2 linked regions of the Saccharomyces cerevisiae S288C genome follow. The protein of the gene in region 2 interacts with the protein of the main gene of each other region in a pairwise test. Each region holds a gene or a part of one and is shown on either strand. Other genes may lie near its edges.

What was found.
Region 1: the proteins of PEP7 (region 2) and VPS45 interact in binary tests that used the Saccharomyces cerevisiae proteins (3 or more experiments, as listed by UniProt).

What each region holds. Positions count from the first base shown.
Region 1 is NC_001139.9:328,746-332,345, forward strand, and holds VPS45 (Vps45p), read right to left. Parts: upstream 1,863-3,600; coding exon 129-1,862; downstream 1-128. Other genes in the region: PAN2 (poly(A)-specific ribonuclease), read right to left, coding at 2,373-3,600. UniProt on the Saccharomyces cerevisiae protein: Essential for vacuolar protein sorting. Function in membrane traffic between the Golgi and the vacuole.
Region 2 is NC_001136.10:1,109,151-1,121,148, forward strand, and holds PEP7 (phosphatidylinositol-3-phosphate binding protein), read right to left. Parts: upstream 4,878-11,998; coding exon 3,330-4,877; downstream 1-3,329. Other genes in the region: asparaginase ASP1, read left to right, coding at 1-697; mitochondrial 54S ribosomal protein mL38 MRPL35, read left to right, coding at 1,439-2,542; TIM11 (F1F0 ATP synthase subunit e), read right to left, coding at 2,853-3,143; small subunit rRNA maturation protein UTP4, read right to left, coding at 5,283-7,613; condensin subunit YCG1, read left to right, coding at 7,976-11,083; YSP2 (Ysp2p), read right to left, coding at 11,459-11,998. UniProt on the Saccharomyces cerevisiae protein: Required for vacuole segregation and vacuole protein sorting. Possibly part of a complex which tethers the vacuole membrane to microtubules, either directly or via kinesin or dynein-like motor proteins.

The sequences.
Region 1 (3,600 bases), on a different chromosome or scaffold from region 2:
GCACCGAATGAAGAAAATGAGAACCTAATTTCGCTTGGCAATAGTAAAATGTTTTATCTGCATCGAAAAAGTTATATAGATTTATGCCTCATATATAAAATAGAATTTTAGAATAAGATAATCCTTATTTATTTTGCAGATCTAATAGAATCCATATATTCTTTAGTTGAAAGTATAGAGGTGCCTCCTAAAACCACCCTCATTCTGTTATTCATCGTTCCATTGAAATCATGGACTAGCCTTGCCTCCTCATAAGTTACACCGCCAATAACAAACAATATTACATCCTGAGGAATATCTTTGCTCTGCTGGTTTCCGATCACTCTATGGCCTTGAGTATCTATTTCTTTGAAACGATCCCTGAATAACGCATTTTTAGAGAGATCTGTTAGTAATGACGAAATTTCCGGAATATGTTGCATATAGACGTTTTCAGCGGTGTTGCTCTTAGAATTCATTCTACTATTAAATCTTCTTGCTAGTTCGGTTAATATATCGTCCTTGTCATGGTTACTTTGAGTCATTTTATCCTGGCGGCTAAAAAGCGATTTAAATTTATGGAAAAAGTTGACGTCCTCTGGAGGAAGTTGTTGAGACAGAATCTCAACTAGTTGACGGATTTTGTCTGAGCTGGTTTGATTGTTTAAAGAATAAATACATGCAAGCTTTAACTTGTAATACTTATCAACTGCTTCATTTTGTAGCAATTTAATCAAATCGGAGAAATCTTCTTCATTGGCATCGTGTGCTGATAGATTTTGTTCTATTTCACTAATTTCCCATATATTTTTTATCTTCAACTGTCTGTCTAATTCCCCCACTATAGCCATATGCTTTGCAACATTTCCAGATAATTTTCTAAACTCTGGATACTTCTCAATAAAGTTTTTAATATCCTCAATGGAATTTATTTGGCTGTTGGTTTGTGTCTTGTCTTTGTATGTAGTCACATATTGTTTTACTTTATCACCCAATTCACCAAAATTCAAATACATGGTATCCCTGAAGAAAGCATCTTGCTTTGATGATAAGGTGACCTTCTCCAGGTCTTTATCAATTCTAGGCACTTTCGATAAATCAACTATATTCCGCTTAATGCCTATATACTCATTGATCATTGATTGGTAGGTCCAAGGTTGAAGTAAAGGTGTTATAGGATCAGTATTACGATCTAAAATTAGTAACACAGGTGTCGAATCCATCACAGGAAAATCAAAAAAAGTTCTTTCGTTTTTACCAATCTCATAGGAAACTTCTTTAGCCAATCTTTCACAAATTTTACTTGCTCCTTCATACCTGATATCTGGTTTTATCTTTAAGGATAAAAGCACAGAAACTAAGCTGTTGGTACATTTTGTTAGCCCCCCTTCGCTCCAAACCAATTTATTACTTAAAAATTCTCTTGGTTGCAAATCAAACGAAAATAAATCTTGGTTTAATATAAAAAAGTCTTGGAATATTTCTTCCACCTTAGTAACAGCTTCCAAGTCGTCAGATTCAGCTAGCCGTTCTAATTGAGATTTAGAGACAATATTACTAAAGAATATTTGATACTCGCCGTACCGAGGATTTCTTAACTCACGCAGCAGATGTTGCAGTGTTTCCTCTGTGGGTTTAACGTAAACTAAGCACCTTAAATGCCTGGACACTTCACGTTGCTCATTTTCTATTCTTTCTACCAGATATATTTCATGCTTCAACAACTCACTTTGAGTGGCACATAAGGATATCGTAGGTGTGGTATTCTTATCCAACAGCAAAACCTTAATCCTTTGGTGTTCATTGACATTGGCTACGCTCAATTTCGATTGGGAAGTCACAATTTTGTTTATATAAAAGTCAGCCACATCAAAAAGGTTCATTTCTTTGTTCTATACAGTAAAAGATGGCCTTAACTCAAAACCAAGTCACTGTACCTCTTCACTCCTTAATGTTACTCTGGGTACATTGCATATGAGCCAAGGCACTTCTATAAGTAAGTTCGAACGTTAACTAACTGTAATGACGTTACCCTTTCCTGAAATTGGCAGAAACAAAAATGAACATTTCTGGCAACTTTTCGCCATACAGTCAGTACTCGTTACGGACGCCCGGGAAACAAGTAGGAAACATATGAGAGGCCAAACAAGGGTAAGACCTTCTTTTCTGGTAATAGATATTACTTCATCGCACAAAGAAGTCTAATTCTGGCGTGTGATGACAAAAAGGTTTAACAAGACCTGTTTCAAAATGTTTGCATATGTTGATTACAGTATATATAATAGTACACAAACACCGGTAACATTTTATAATTTTTTTGAATTTTTTGTATACTTTTCCAACCAGTGGTGCGCTGGTGGCTCTTGAGATTACGTGAAAGGCACTGCACCATATTATCCCTTTGAAGTTTCTGGAACTTTGAAATTATGGGCTCTTCCTTCTTCGTACACGCTGTTCAGTACTTTCTCAAAGATAGCTTTTTCTTTCAGGTGGAGATATTTTTTGTAAAGAATCAAGGCAGTATGGGCATCTTCAATTGAATCGTGATTTCCCTCTTGGATATTCATTCCTAACAACACATATGCCAGATAACGCAATGAAAGATATCTCTTTCCTTGTAGAAAATATATGGCAGTGTCGCGAATTTGGTTTCTTGGGACATTAATATTAATGTGTTTGAAGTCATTATTCAAACCATGACCAACAAATACGCATCCGAGCTGCATTAAAAGCCAGACTTTTCGATATACAACGTTTCTTCTCACAAGCCTTTTGGTACTCTTTTCAGGGTCCAAGTCACCAGGAAGAATCCCACTATATCTTGTCAAATAGTCTTCTATGTGGTTCGTGTTTACCACATAATCATCGACAAATGGTACTCCATACAGTTCTCCTTCTTCGCCTCTAATAATGGATATTCTGGCCAAAGCAGTTCTTTTAGGTCGAATAATACTTCTGATTCCTTGATGATCGATTTCACATAGTTCACTTTGTAATGAGACAAATTCGGCATCAATGGCAACCAAGGTTCCAGATTTAGGTGCCTCATCATGTGTTAATAACTTATATTCACGTCTTGCAGTATCTCTTATTCCGTTTGCGAAATAATCACGGAAAAGTATGTCATAGTTGATGGAATACGTATCAACAGAAAAGAAAGGTTTTCGTAATTCTTCCGCATCACAATATATGATAATTTCTGGTGTTTTCCAAGGGTATGTCATTTTAAGCGCCTCTTCCTCTGTTATCTCAACAACCAAATAATCATTAAACATGAGCCACTTGAAGCAATTCTCTTTTGGATTATATTTTTTGACATATGTTACTAGACGCGTCTCGTTATTGTTATCAGTGATTTTAGCCACGTAACCATTCAATTCGTATTTAAATATGTGGCTTGTGCCCTTCAATTCGGACGCCGTCGATCTTAGAACTGCCTTGTTTTTAATGATGCTTCCATAAAATTCACTAGTTAACCAGTTTTTCGACGACCTTATATTGGAAAATTCGGTATCTAATAGTGATAATTCTAATGACAACACTGAAGGTAAATTCTTGACAGTACACTCCTGGGTGATAGTTTCGGTTTTGCCGCAGGTTGGGCAAATACTGTTCTTTTGG
Region 2 (11,998 bases):
TATTGAAAGTACTATTGATGCTGGCGACGTTCCTATTGTTTTTGTTGGTTCGATGCGTCCTTCAACCAGCGTTTCTGCTGATGGCCCTATGAACCTTTACCAAGCAATTTGCATTGCTTCAAATCCAAAATCTAGAGGAAGAGGTGTTCTTGTTTCCTTGAATGACCAAATTTCCTCTGGTTACTACATTACTAAGACGAATGCAAATAGTTTGGATTCTTTTAATGTTAGACAAGGCTATTTAGGAAATTTTGTCAACAATGAAATTCACTACTATTATCCTCCTGTGAAACCGCAAGGTTGCCACAAATTCAAACTGAGAGTGGACGGTAAGCATTTTAAATTACCAGAGGTTTGCATTTTATATGCTCACCAAGCCTTTCCGCCAGCTATAGTCAACTTAGTGGCAGATAAGTATGATGGTATTGTTCTTGCTACCATGGGTGCTGGTTCATTGCCGGAGGAGGTCAATGAAACCTGCATGAAATTGAGTTTGCCGATCGTATATTCCAAGAGATCGATGGATGGTATGGTGCCTATTGCCAACGTACCAAAGAAAGGTTCAAAGGAGGATAATCTCATCGCATCTGGTTATCTAAGCCCTGAAAAGAGCAGAATCTTGTTACAATTATGTTTGGCAGGTAACTACACGTTGGAAGAAATTAAACATGTTTTCACTGGCGTCTATGGTGGGTGAAAATTTTGTAATTTTTTGCATTTGTGTCGATATATATATATATATACATAGACACAGAGATAGAGATATAATTATGCAAGTCCCTGTTAATGCTAGTCTGAGATGAGTACAGGAATTCTTCATTTAGATTGTCTCGGCTATGTCACTTTTCTATCGTTTCACCTGCACATGGCTTTGTCTTGAATACTGAAGCCGTTATTATAGTTCTATCTTCATGTTTTTAGAGGTTTTTTTTAAATGAGTTTATTAAAATTAAATTTTGAATGTTATTTTTGAATAAAAATATAAAAAAAATAATATTAATAATTTTTCATTAACTGCTCATGATATCAGTGCATTAGAAAATCTTTTGGTTCCACTTTTCCTATAAAAATAATTCAAGTTTTATCATTATATCATTTTTAAATATTTGATTATCATCGCCCGCTGGTCACCGCATTTTTAAAGAATAAATATTACTTTTTTCGAAATCTGGTGTTTAAATATTTTTAAGAAAGTTAAAAAATAAGGAATATTTGATAAACAAAAAAAAATTAGCCTTTATATATCCATTTTTGTTTATGTATTCCTTTTTTTATTTTCTTATGTGTTTGGGATTTACTGTCGCAGTCTTTTCAAATTTTCCGGGCTAAACCGGAAGCCGGAAGGTCTGGGATAAGACAACAGTATCCAATACAATATCAGACTACAGCAAAAAGCTTATTCAGAGATCTTTACAGAAATCAAGGTCACTGCCGAACTATGTTACGAAGATCTATTCATACCACTAAAATCCTCCAAAAACCTAATGCTACTTCGCATATTTGGTCGGACTTTACCACAAGGCCTAGTTCACTTTCTATCCAATCTTCAAAAGTGAAAAATTACCTTTTCCAGAAGAAAGCTTCTCTAGACCCACCATCTATCAGCAGAAGAAGTAACCGTATCAAATATTCACCTCCAGAACACATTGATGAGATTTTCAGGATGAGTTATGATTTTCTTGAGCAAAGATCCAGTAAGTTTTATGAGTTGGCCAATAAGACTAAAAATCCCTTGAAGAAGGATGCACTTCTCATAAAAGCAGAGATCAATAATCCTGAGGTACAATACAATTTTCAGTTTAATAACAAGTTGAACAATGTTAAGGATATAATAGATTATGATGTGCCAGTGTACAGACATTTGGGGAAACAACATTGGGAATCGTACGGCCAGATGTTATTGATGCAAAGGTTAGAAACGTTGGCTGCCATTCCTGATACTCTTCCAACTCTGGTTCCACGGGCAGAAGTGAATATCAAATTTCCCTTCTCTACTGGTGTAAATAAGTGGATCGAACCTGGTGAATTTCTATCGTCCAATGTCACATCCATGCGTCCCATTTTCAAAATTCAAGAATATGAACTTGTGAACGTTGAAAAACAATTGTATACGGTACTGATAGTCAATCCTGATGTTCCAGATTTGAGTAATGACTCATTTAAAACGGCTTTGTGTTACGGATTGGTGAATATTAATTTGACTTATAATGACAATTTAATAGATCCAAGAAAGTTCCACAGTTCTAATATTATCGCTGACTACTTACCTCCGGTACCTGAAAAGAATGCTGGAAAACAGAGATTCGTTGTTTGGGTATTCAGACAACCCTTAATCGAGGATAAGCAAGGTCCTAACATGTTAGAGATTGACCGAAAGGAACTAAGTAGAGATGATTTTGATATCAGGCAATTTACGAAGAAATACAATCTAACCGCTATTGGGGCACATATCTGGAGAAGCGAATGGGATGCCAAAGTCGCCGCCGTCAGAGAAAAATATGGCCTACCACCTGGAAGGGTTTTTAGCAGAGTTAGAAGGTGATCCTAAATAGTATGACATTATAGTATCCTGTACATATAAAATAACGTGTCATTGTTAATAAAGCTTGATGCAAATAATATAAAGTAAGAATCTGAAAAATTTTTGGAATGTGAATTTTGTTTACAATACGATACGTATGATATTAGTATGTTCTAGAATATATACATTTCATTTTTTTCCTTATTGTTTGTGCACTAACGAATGAAGAAAAAAATATGGAACATCTAGCGAACGAGAATCCATCATAACTTCGTCATTCAGTGCGAGCTAATGTGCATTTTTAGTATCCTATTTATGTTGAAGCTTCTATTTATGTTGAAGCTTCCTTCAGGGATTCAACGGCGTTAAGAATAACTCTTTCAAAATCTATATTAGGATCTTCCAAATTAAATGAGGCGTTCGCAGGCACATCTTTAGGAGTTACTACAGGGTGTAGCTTGGCGTATTCCTTCTTTGCCTCCTCTACCAGCTTCAATTTCTCCTCGTACTGTGCCTGCTCCTCTTTCTTCTTAGCATTACACTTCAAAATCATATCATTTCTAAAACCAAAAAATAGCCCCAAACCCAACGCAGAGTATCTCAAAACATTAACTGTCGACATCCTTTAACTCACTCAGCTAGTTCCTATATACGTTATGTTCCGATATAATACTTCCTTTTATCTAAAATTTCTGTGTGAAAAGTCAAAAAAACTAAAGAAAAATTTATACCCTTAAATAGATCTGATTGGCTCCGCGGACCAATTAGCGTGGAGATTCCGCGAATGATCGAATAATAAAGATATGTCTTAATTAAACCCATGGTCACCCAGCTTCGATTGAACGGTATGTATTCTTGAGTGCAATTCTTCTAAGTTCTTATTAAGTGTGACGATCTCCTCCAATCTACGCTGCTTCTTATAGTCCTGAATTGTGGACTCAATAAGGTAGCTTTGTTCCTTTAGGACCATCAATTCTTCTCTCAGCTCTTTCACTTCTTTTATGGTCAAGTTTTCGATCATTAGTTGCGATAATTTCTTTACCTCTGGTTCAGCTTTTTGCCCATCTTCATTCGTTTTATGGCCCTCTGGGTTCAAAATTGCCGGAAGCGACTTCAACGGTAGGATTTTTTCGTTTATGTATGCAGCGGAAGCTATCTTGATCGAATTTTGAAGTTGTCTCTCTAGATGACTTTGAGGTTCTACACTTAAGAGCTGTCTTGTTAGTGTATTATACAAGTTAAAAGAATTGAGTAATTTATGTCTTAATCGAGCGAGATCATTCAGATTCTTTGGATCAAGTGTATTTTCAGAATCCTTGGCAGTCTCCACCTTCAGGCTATTCAATGAGTCTTCAAAAATGGGCAGGAGACTATCAATTACTTTGGATATATTTTGCATGCTATCATATTTAGCAAATATTCCACTTAGCGGCATTCTAACGTCCTTGTTAAATTTCCTGCCAATAAATAGCATATCGATACAGTGCGAGCACAATCTTATGGATATAGGAATATGAAGTAAATCATCCTTCTGTATATTGTATTCGAATGGCAGATCTGACGCTGCAGACATTAAATAACCTATGCTTATTTCGTTTGAGCAGTTCCTGTTTGCATCATCACAAACAACCATACCACATAATCTGCAGTGATGCTTCCTTAGTAATAGCCCAAATGGTTCGGAACATATGTTACAAAAGAGTACACTTCTATCATCTCTCCATGGAGTAACTGTACGTTCTAACTTGGACATTTCACTATTCATCTTCAAATTATGAATAATGGATCTAGAATATGTGTTATAGAGTGTAATCAGACCATCAACTAGACGGACAAACCGATTTTCTAATTGTAATAGCCTTAAGTTTTTGTCCTCTCTTTTTATATTTCGTACCTTAAAGAATTCTGGTGTTAAATCTATTACTTCGCCATAATCGTTATAGCCAGGTTTTGTGACGAAACAATCATGGCAGCAATTGTACCATTTCCCGTTTCTGGGGTCATACTGTGCGGAAAGATTAAGTTTAATCATATTAGGAAGATGCCTTCTGCAATACAGTTTACCACATTTCCTACAATTAATGGCGCCAATATTGTTATTCAAAGTCCTTCCACATGTGTGACAGCAGCTCTTCCCTTTTTTGAATTTTTCCCAATGGCTTCTTTTCAACTTTTGCGCACTGCTATCAACAGATCTGGCCTTTTTTTGTTTACCATTGACTAAACGACTGTCATTGGAACCGAGTGAATCTTCATTATCGTTAAACCCATGCTCAACATCTAAATGTGCATTTAGTGCTTGTAAGTTATCAAACTTCCTTAGACAAATGGGACATGAAACATTTTCAAGATCCATAATAGATAAGTCGCCAGGAAATTCGGTGATATCCCTTTAAAAACCATGAGATCCGGCTTTGCTCTTTAGGTCGGTCAATTTAGCTACTGATCATATGTTTTCATTATTCTATTGTTTTCCCAAAGTATTACCCTGCCTGGAAATAACAGTGATAGCCAGAGTGATTCCATCGCCAGTACTTTTGTAATTCAGGAATACATTTATACCAATAAATGGCTCACATTTAATGTCTGCATACGTGATTACTACATATATATGTCTGCGTATGTGCTTGGCTATTTTACATTAGCGAGTTTCTATAAAGTACTAACGCCATTAGAGTTTTTTGTAACTGAAAAATGCCCTTAGAGTATGATAGCCTTTTAATAGCATCTCTCTATTCTTCGGTATGTTGACTTAAATTAATCAAAACACTAACTTTGGTTGAATAAACGCCTTTTGTTTGGAGTGAAAAGTTAATGGATTTCTTTCAATTATTGCCAATTCATTACTAGAAATTAAGTCAACAAACAGTAAAGGTTTATATTTATCAGTAAAGAAGAAGTGACCGGAGCTTTCTTCGTTTCTTTGTACATCTGTGGACTTTATTTTGTTTCCTTGGTTTAATAATACATTCAAGTTTTCGCTGATTTCCATATCAATATCGTCATCTTCGTCATCTTCCTCGTCGTTCATGAAATTACTTTCATCTGTGATAGTTAGCCCTTCGTGTGTACGTTTTTTCTGTTTTCTTCTCTTATTTATAGGGAAGTCAACATCAAAGTCTATTCTTGATATCCAAGTAGCCCCCCAAAACCATAATCTGCTACTATTTTCTATGTCTGAAAATATCCCTACACAGTTCTCTTTTAATGTCTTCCATTCTTTTGGTAAGTTATCCGTATTGTTTTTTGACCATTGAGTTAATACGCTTTCGCTATCTTCATTCTCGGCTTCCGAATTCAAATTCATATTGAATTCATAAATCTTATTGTCTGCAGTAATTACTACTACAGATTTTCTAGAAGTATTGATATGAACAGCGGTGATGAAATTATTCAAACGAGCAAGTGGTTTAGAAATCCTTGCTTTTAAGTCTAATATGTCTACGACTCCACAGCCACGAGAAATTACTGCAATGTTCTGGTCTACTTCCAAATGGTTGATCCTGTTAATATAGGGAACTTTGATACTGCTCTTAGTTGAAGTAACCTCCAAAAGTTCAACTTCTTGCGGTTTTTCATCTTCTTCAGATTCTAGATCCACAATAAATACATCATCTTCGCAAGAGCATATGACAATTTTGGAATTATCGATGAACTTGACTAATTTTGTGGAAGTTCTCAATAATAGGTCATTATCTAGTTTAGTCACTTTCAATTTATTACCTACGGGCTGTAAATGAAAAACTTTAGTGGTAGAGGGCCTCCCTACGACTAAAACTTGTCCATCAGGTGATAAAGAACAAGTTGAGATATTCTGGTCATCTTTTAAAGTTAACTTGCAAACTAGCTTATAATTCTGTTCTGTACTAGAATCGGTTCCCATTGTCCATATCTTAACAGTAGATTCGCTCCATGAAACAACAAGGCGTTGCTCTTTGTTAACTAAAACATTCTTTGAATAAGGTTCGACAGTTGGCATCTTCCTGTAGTTTCCATTAGAAAAAGAAGTAAGTGAGTTGATGACTAGTGTTTTTTCAACACCTCCTGAAACTAGAAAATCTGCACCTTTAGATTGGTATGCACATATTGCTCTAATGTCGTTTCCATGAAGCAACCTATTAGAAGAATTTACCCATCTGTTGTTCTTTTGAGATTTGTTAGTGTTTTGAGAAAATTGAAAGATTTTTCTGTCCACACCAGCACTAAAAACATAATTATTATCAGTATCGGTAGTTAGACACAGTACGTCTGCATCGTGCGCCTTAAATGACTGGTTTAGCGTGGCAAACTGGAAATCCCAGAATTTAATGGAGCCTGTAGAATCACCAGAGGCAATCTGATCAGTTCTTGGTAAATATATAACTGACCAAACTAGAGTTGATTCTTTTTTGGCCTTGTCGACCTTCATAGTGTGTAATAGACGACCCATGTTTTCGTCATTTTTTTGTGCAGACCAAATCCTTATTCTACCATCAGAACAACCACCAATCACGAAGTCATCCTTTTTCCAAGCCAAAGTCAATACTCTGGCTTCTTGTCTCATCAAAATAGTATCGTGTTCCAAGACACCAGGCCCGCCAGAGATATCTATGAGGACCACCGTCCCATTATCGCAACCCACAGACAGCTTGTCTTGTGAATCGTTGATGGAAATAGACCATATCACACCTGAATTGCAATCATAGTTTCTTAATGGTAAACCTGTTGCTAAATCCCATTCTGTTACCACAGTCGAGCCGCCAATAGAAAATAGCCTTAGAGACTCGCCGTTAACGTTGCTCCAGCAAAGGCCTTCAATTGATCTGTCTTTGCCACCTTCGATAACCATTTCCTGAAACCAATTGTTTCTAGGATTCCAGATTTCTATGTTACCATTAGATCTACCAATAGCTAATCTCAAATCGGACGGAGTTAACTTATTTATATTTGATTTATGTGAAAATGCTAGAGATGTGATTGTGGCAGGAGTGAAATCCACAAATCTGCATCTATGCACTATCATCCTTTCCTGACTGGTCATCTTCACCGGTTTGTTTCGTATTTTCAGGCTTCTTGACTTTTCTTTTAAAACTGAAAGTAGCGATGAGCTCATTCGTAGCTTTTTTCTTGTCAGTCTGAAAATTTTTCATTTGGTTTTTTGAAAAAAATCCTGCCTAATATGGTATCAAGAGGAATAACAAGAAAAAAAAATCATGGGGGATACAAAGGAAAACAAGGAGATAATGCAGGTTATACTGAATTGCTCATAGTATTAGCCTAAAGCACTTTACCTCTGATTTATTGCATCTATCGTATTCTTGAGTTATTGCGACTTTTAAAATCCGTGCACCGCATATGAAAGGGTAGAGCCTTCGTGTTTGTTTACCTTTTTAGCTCTTTGAAGATCAAACAAAAACACTTCAGTAATGCCTACAGCCTTGGATAAGACAAAGAAGTTAACAGGCCGCGCCCATCATGCAAGATCCTGATGGTATTGACATTAATACGAAAATCTTTAACTCAGTTGCTGAAGTATTTCAAAAGGCACAGGGTTCTTATGCAGGACACAGGAAGCATATAGCAGTTTTGAAGAAAATTCAGTCAAAGGCTGTTGAGCAAGGCTATGAAGATGCTTTTAACTTTTGGTTCGATAAATTAGTTACTAAGATCCTTCCTCTGAAAAAGAATGAGATTATCGGAGACAGGATAGTAAAGTTAGTAGCTGCATTTATAGCTTCTTTAGAAAGGGAGTTGATATTGGCCAAAAAACAAAACTATAAGCTCACGAATGATGAAGAAGGGATATTCTCAAGGTTCGTCGATCAGTTCATAAGACATGTTTTGCGTGGTGTGGAAAGCCCTGACAAGAACGTCAGATTTAGAGTTTTACAGTTATTAGCCGTTATAATGGATAATATAGGGGAAATCGATGAATCACTTTTCAATTTATTAATATTGTCTTTAAATAAGAGGATTTATGATAGAGAACCAACGGTTAGGATACAGGCTGTGTTTTGTTTAACTAAATTTCAGGATGAAGAGCAAACTGAACATTTAACTGAGCTTTCTGATAATGAAGAAAATTTTGAAGCTACGAGAACTCTAGTTGCTTCTATCCAGAACGATCCGTCAGCTGAAGTACGGAGGGCTGCAATGCTGAATTTGATCAATGATAATAATACTAGACCGTATATCTTGGAGAGGGCTAGAGATGTAAACATCGTTAATAGAAGGCTCGTGTATTCGAGAATTTTGAAATCAATGGGAAGAAAGTGTTTCGATGATATTGAGCCGCATATTTTTGATCAATTGATTGAGTGGGGTTTAGAAGATAGGGAATTATCAGTGAGAAATGCGTGTAAGAGACTCATTGCTCATGATTGGTTAAATGCTCTGGATGGCGATTTGATAGAATTACTAGAAAAATTGGATGTCTCAAGATCCTCAGTGTGTGTTAAGGCTATAGAAGCACTTTTTCAATCAAGGCCAGATATATTATCTAAAATCAAATTTCCTGAAAGTATTTGGAAAGACTTTACCGTAGAAATTGCCTTCCTCTTTCGGGCTATTTATTTGTACTGTTTGGATAATAATATAACAGAAATGCTGGAAGAAAACTTTCCAGAAGCCTCAAAATTATCCGAGCATTTAAACCATTATATTCTTCTCAGATATCATCACAACGACATTTCTAATGACTCTCAGTCGCATTTTGATTATAACACTTTAGAGTTTATTATTGAGCAACTATCGATTGCCGCCGAAAGGTATGATTATAGCGATGAGGTTGGAAGGAGATCGATGCTTACAGTGGTACGAAATATGCTGGCCTTAACTACACTCTCCGAACCTCTTATTAAAATTGGTATTCGTGTAATGAAAAGTCTGTCCATAAATGAAAAAGATTTTGTAACAATGGCAATAGAAATCATTAATGATATTAGAGACGACGATATTGAAAAACAAGAACAAGAAGAGAAAATAAAAAGCAAGAAGATTAATCGCAGAAATGAGACTTCCGTCGATGAAGAGGACGAAAACGGCACACATAATGACGAAGTTAACGAGGATGAAGAAGACGACAATATTTCATCCTTCCATTCTGCTGTAGAAAACTTAGTGCAGGGAAACGGCAACGTATCTGAGAGTGACATAATAAATAATCTCCCACCCGAAAAGGAAGCGTCCTCAGCAACAATTGTTCTCTGTCTTACAAGGTCATCATATATGCTAGAACTAGTTAACACACCGTTAACAGAAAACATTTTAATTGCGTCGTTGATGGACACTTTGATCACACCAGCGGTTAGAAATACCGCGCCAAATATTAGGGAGCTTGGTGTCAAGAACCTTGGTTTATGTTGTCTCTTGGATGTGAAGTTGGCTATTGATAACATGTACATCTTAGGTATGTGCGTTTCGAAAGGTAATGCATCATTAAAGTATATTGCGTTACAAGTCATTGTAGATATTTTTTCCGTACATGGGAACACTGTGGTAGACGGAGAAGGCAAAGTTGACTCAATCTCGTTGCACAAAATATTTTACAAGGTTTTAAAGAATAACGGTTTACCGGAATGTCAGGTGATAGCAGCGGAGGGTTTATGCAAACTATTTTTGGCAGACGTGTTCACTGATGATGATTTGTTTGAAACGTTGGTTTTGTCATATTTTTCGCCGATAAATTCCTCAAACGAAGCGCTGGTACAGGCATTTGCCTTCTGCATTCCAGTCTATTGTTTTTCACATCCTGCTCATCAACAACGTATGTCTAGGACGGCTGCGGACATACTCTTAAGACTATGTGTTCTTTGGGACGATTTACAGAGCTCTGTAATACCTGAGGTAGACCGTGAAGCTATGCTAAAGCCTAACATAATATTTCAACAGTTGCTATTTTGGACTGATCCACGTAACTTAGTTAACCAGACAGGTTCAACAAAAAAAGATACAGTGCAGCTTACATTCTTGATCGATGTGCTCAAAATATACGCTCAAATTGAGAAGAAAGAAATAAAGAAGATGATCATCACTAATATAAACGCTATATTTCTTTCTTCTGAACAAGATTATTCTACTTTGAAAGAACTTCTTGAGTATTCTGACGATATTGCAGAAAATGATAATTTAGACAATGTTAGCAAAAATGCTCTGGACAAGCTAAGGAATAATTTGAATTCGCTGATTGAAGAGATCAATGAAAGGTCAGAAACTCAGACAAAAGATGAGAACAACACTGCGAATGACCAATACTCGTCTATTTTGGGGAATTCATTCAATAAATCTTCAAATGACACCATAGAACACGCTGCTGATATAACTGATGGAAATAACACAGAATTGACTAAAACAACTGTTAATATTTCGGCAGTTGACAATACAACAGAGCAAAGTAACTCAAGGAAAAGAACGAGATCAGAAGCGGAGCAAATTGACACATCCAAAAACCTGGAAAACATGAGTATTCAAGACACGTCAACTGTAGCAAAAAATGTAAGTTTTGTTTTACCTGACGAGAAATCAGATGCAATGTCCATAGATGAAGAAGATAAGGATTCAGAGTCTTTCAGCGAGGTCTGTTAAAATTGATATGCGAGCTCTTCATCTATTTAAGTTGATTTTTTGGTTGTAAACATATTTGTATTTTATTCTTAGGTTTGTTAATTCTTCTACGCTTACCAGATATAGATGCTATATGTTATTGCATTACGCACATTACCCGGTGGGACAAATTATGGAAATATTCCAAGGCTATAAATTCTTTGGTGAAAGGAACTGAAATTATGTCCAGTAATGCACCAGAAATGGACATATAAAACTATTAATGCATTTTATTACAATTATCCTAAGAAAATATCCTATATATAATTAAAGTAAAAGAAATAAGATCAAAAGAACAAAATAAAGTCGAGTAGAATTTTCCTACTTGACTATATTAGAACGAAAAATGTTATTTTATCAAAGTAATTGGTTAGTAGCCGACGTGTTATCCGTTTGGGCCAATAATTCTTTCATTTCTTGCAGCTGCAATTCGGTGATTTTTATAGATTCAACTAGCTGCTGTATTTTATGATCACTAACTCCATTTACGAGCTTAACCTTCTTGTTATTACTCTCCTTAATATGATTGGACAAGACACTATTTTGAACGGTTCCATTTCCACGATCTATCAACCAGTCCCATATGAGACCCTCCGTATCGGTGACTATGTTATTTTTATTCGAGTCTTTACGGCGGGCATCTTTTATAATATTATCTTCGTAAACATGATAGAGTGTTTTAAAATTAGGAACGTAATTATATTCATTTCCATTAATTAAGATTGTTCCTGGAGTAATAATCTGGATGTTCGAAGTATTCTTAGAATGGAATAATAATCTAAAGAAGAAAATCAAGCAAATAAAAAAAGAGATAATTGTCATAATTCCTTGAACGGATGTTATGTTTACTTGTTGTAACATTGAGAAAGCGGAAAAAAATGAATTTTTGGTACTTGT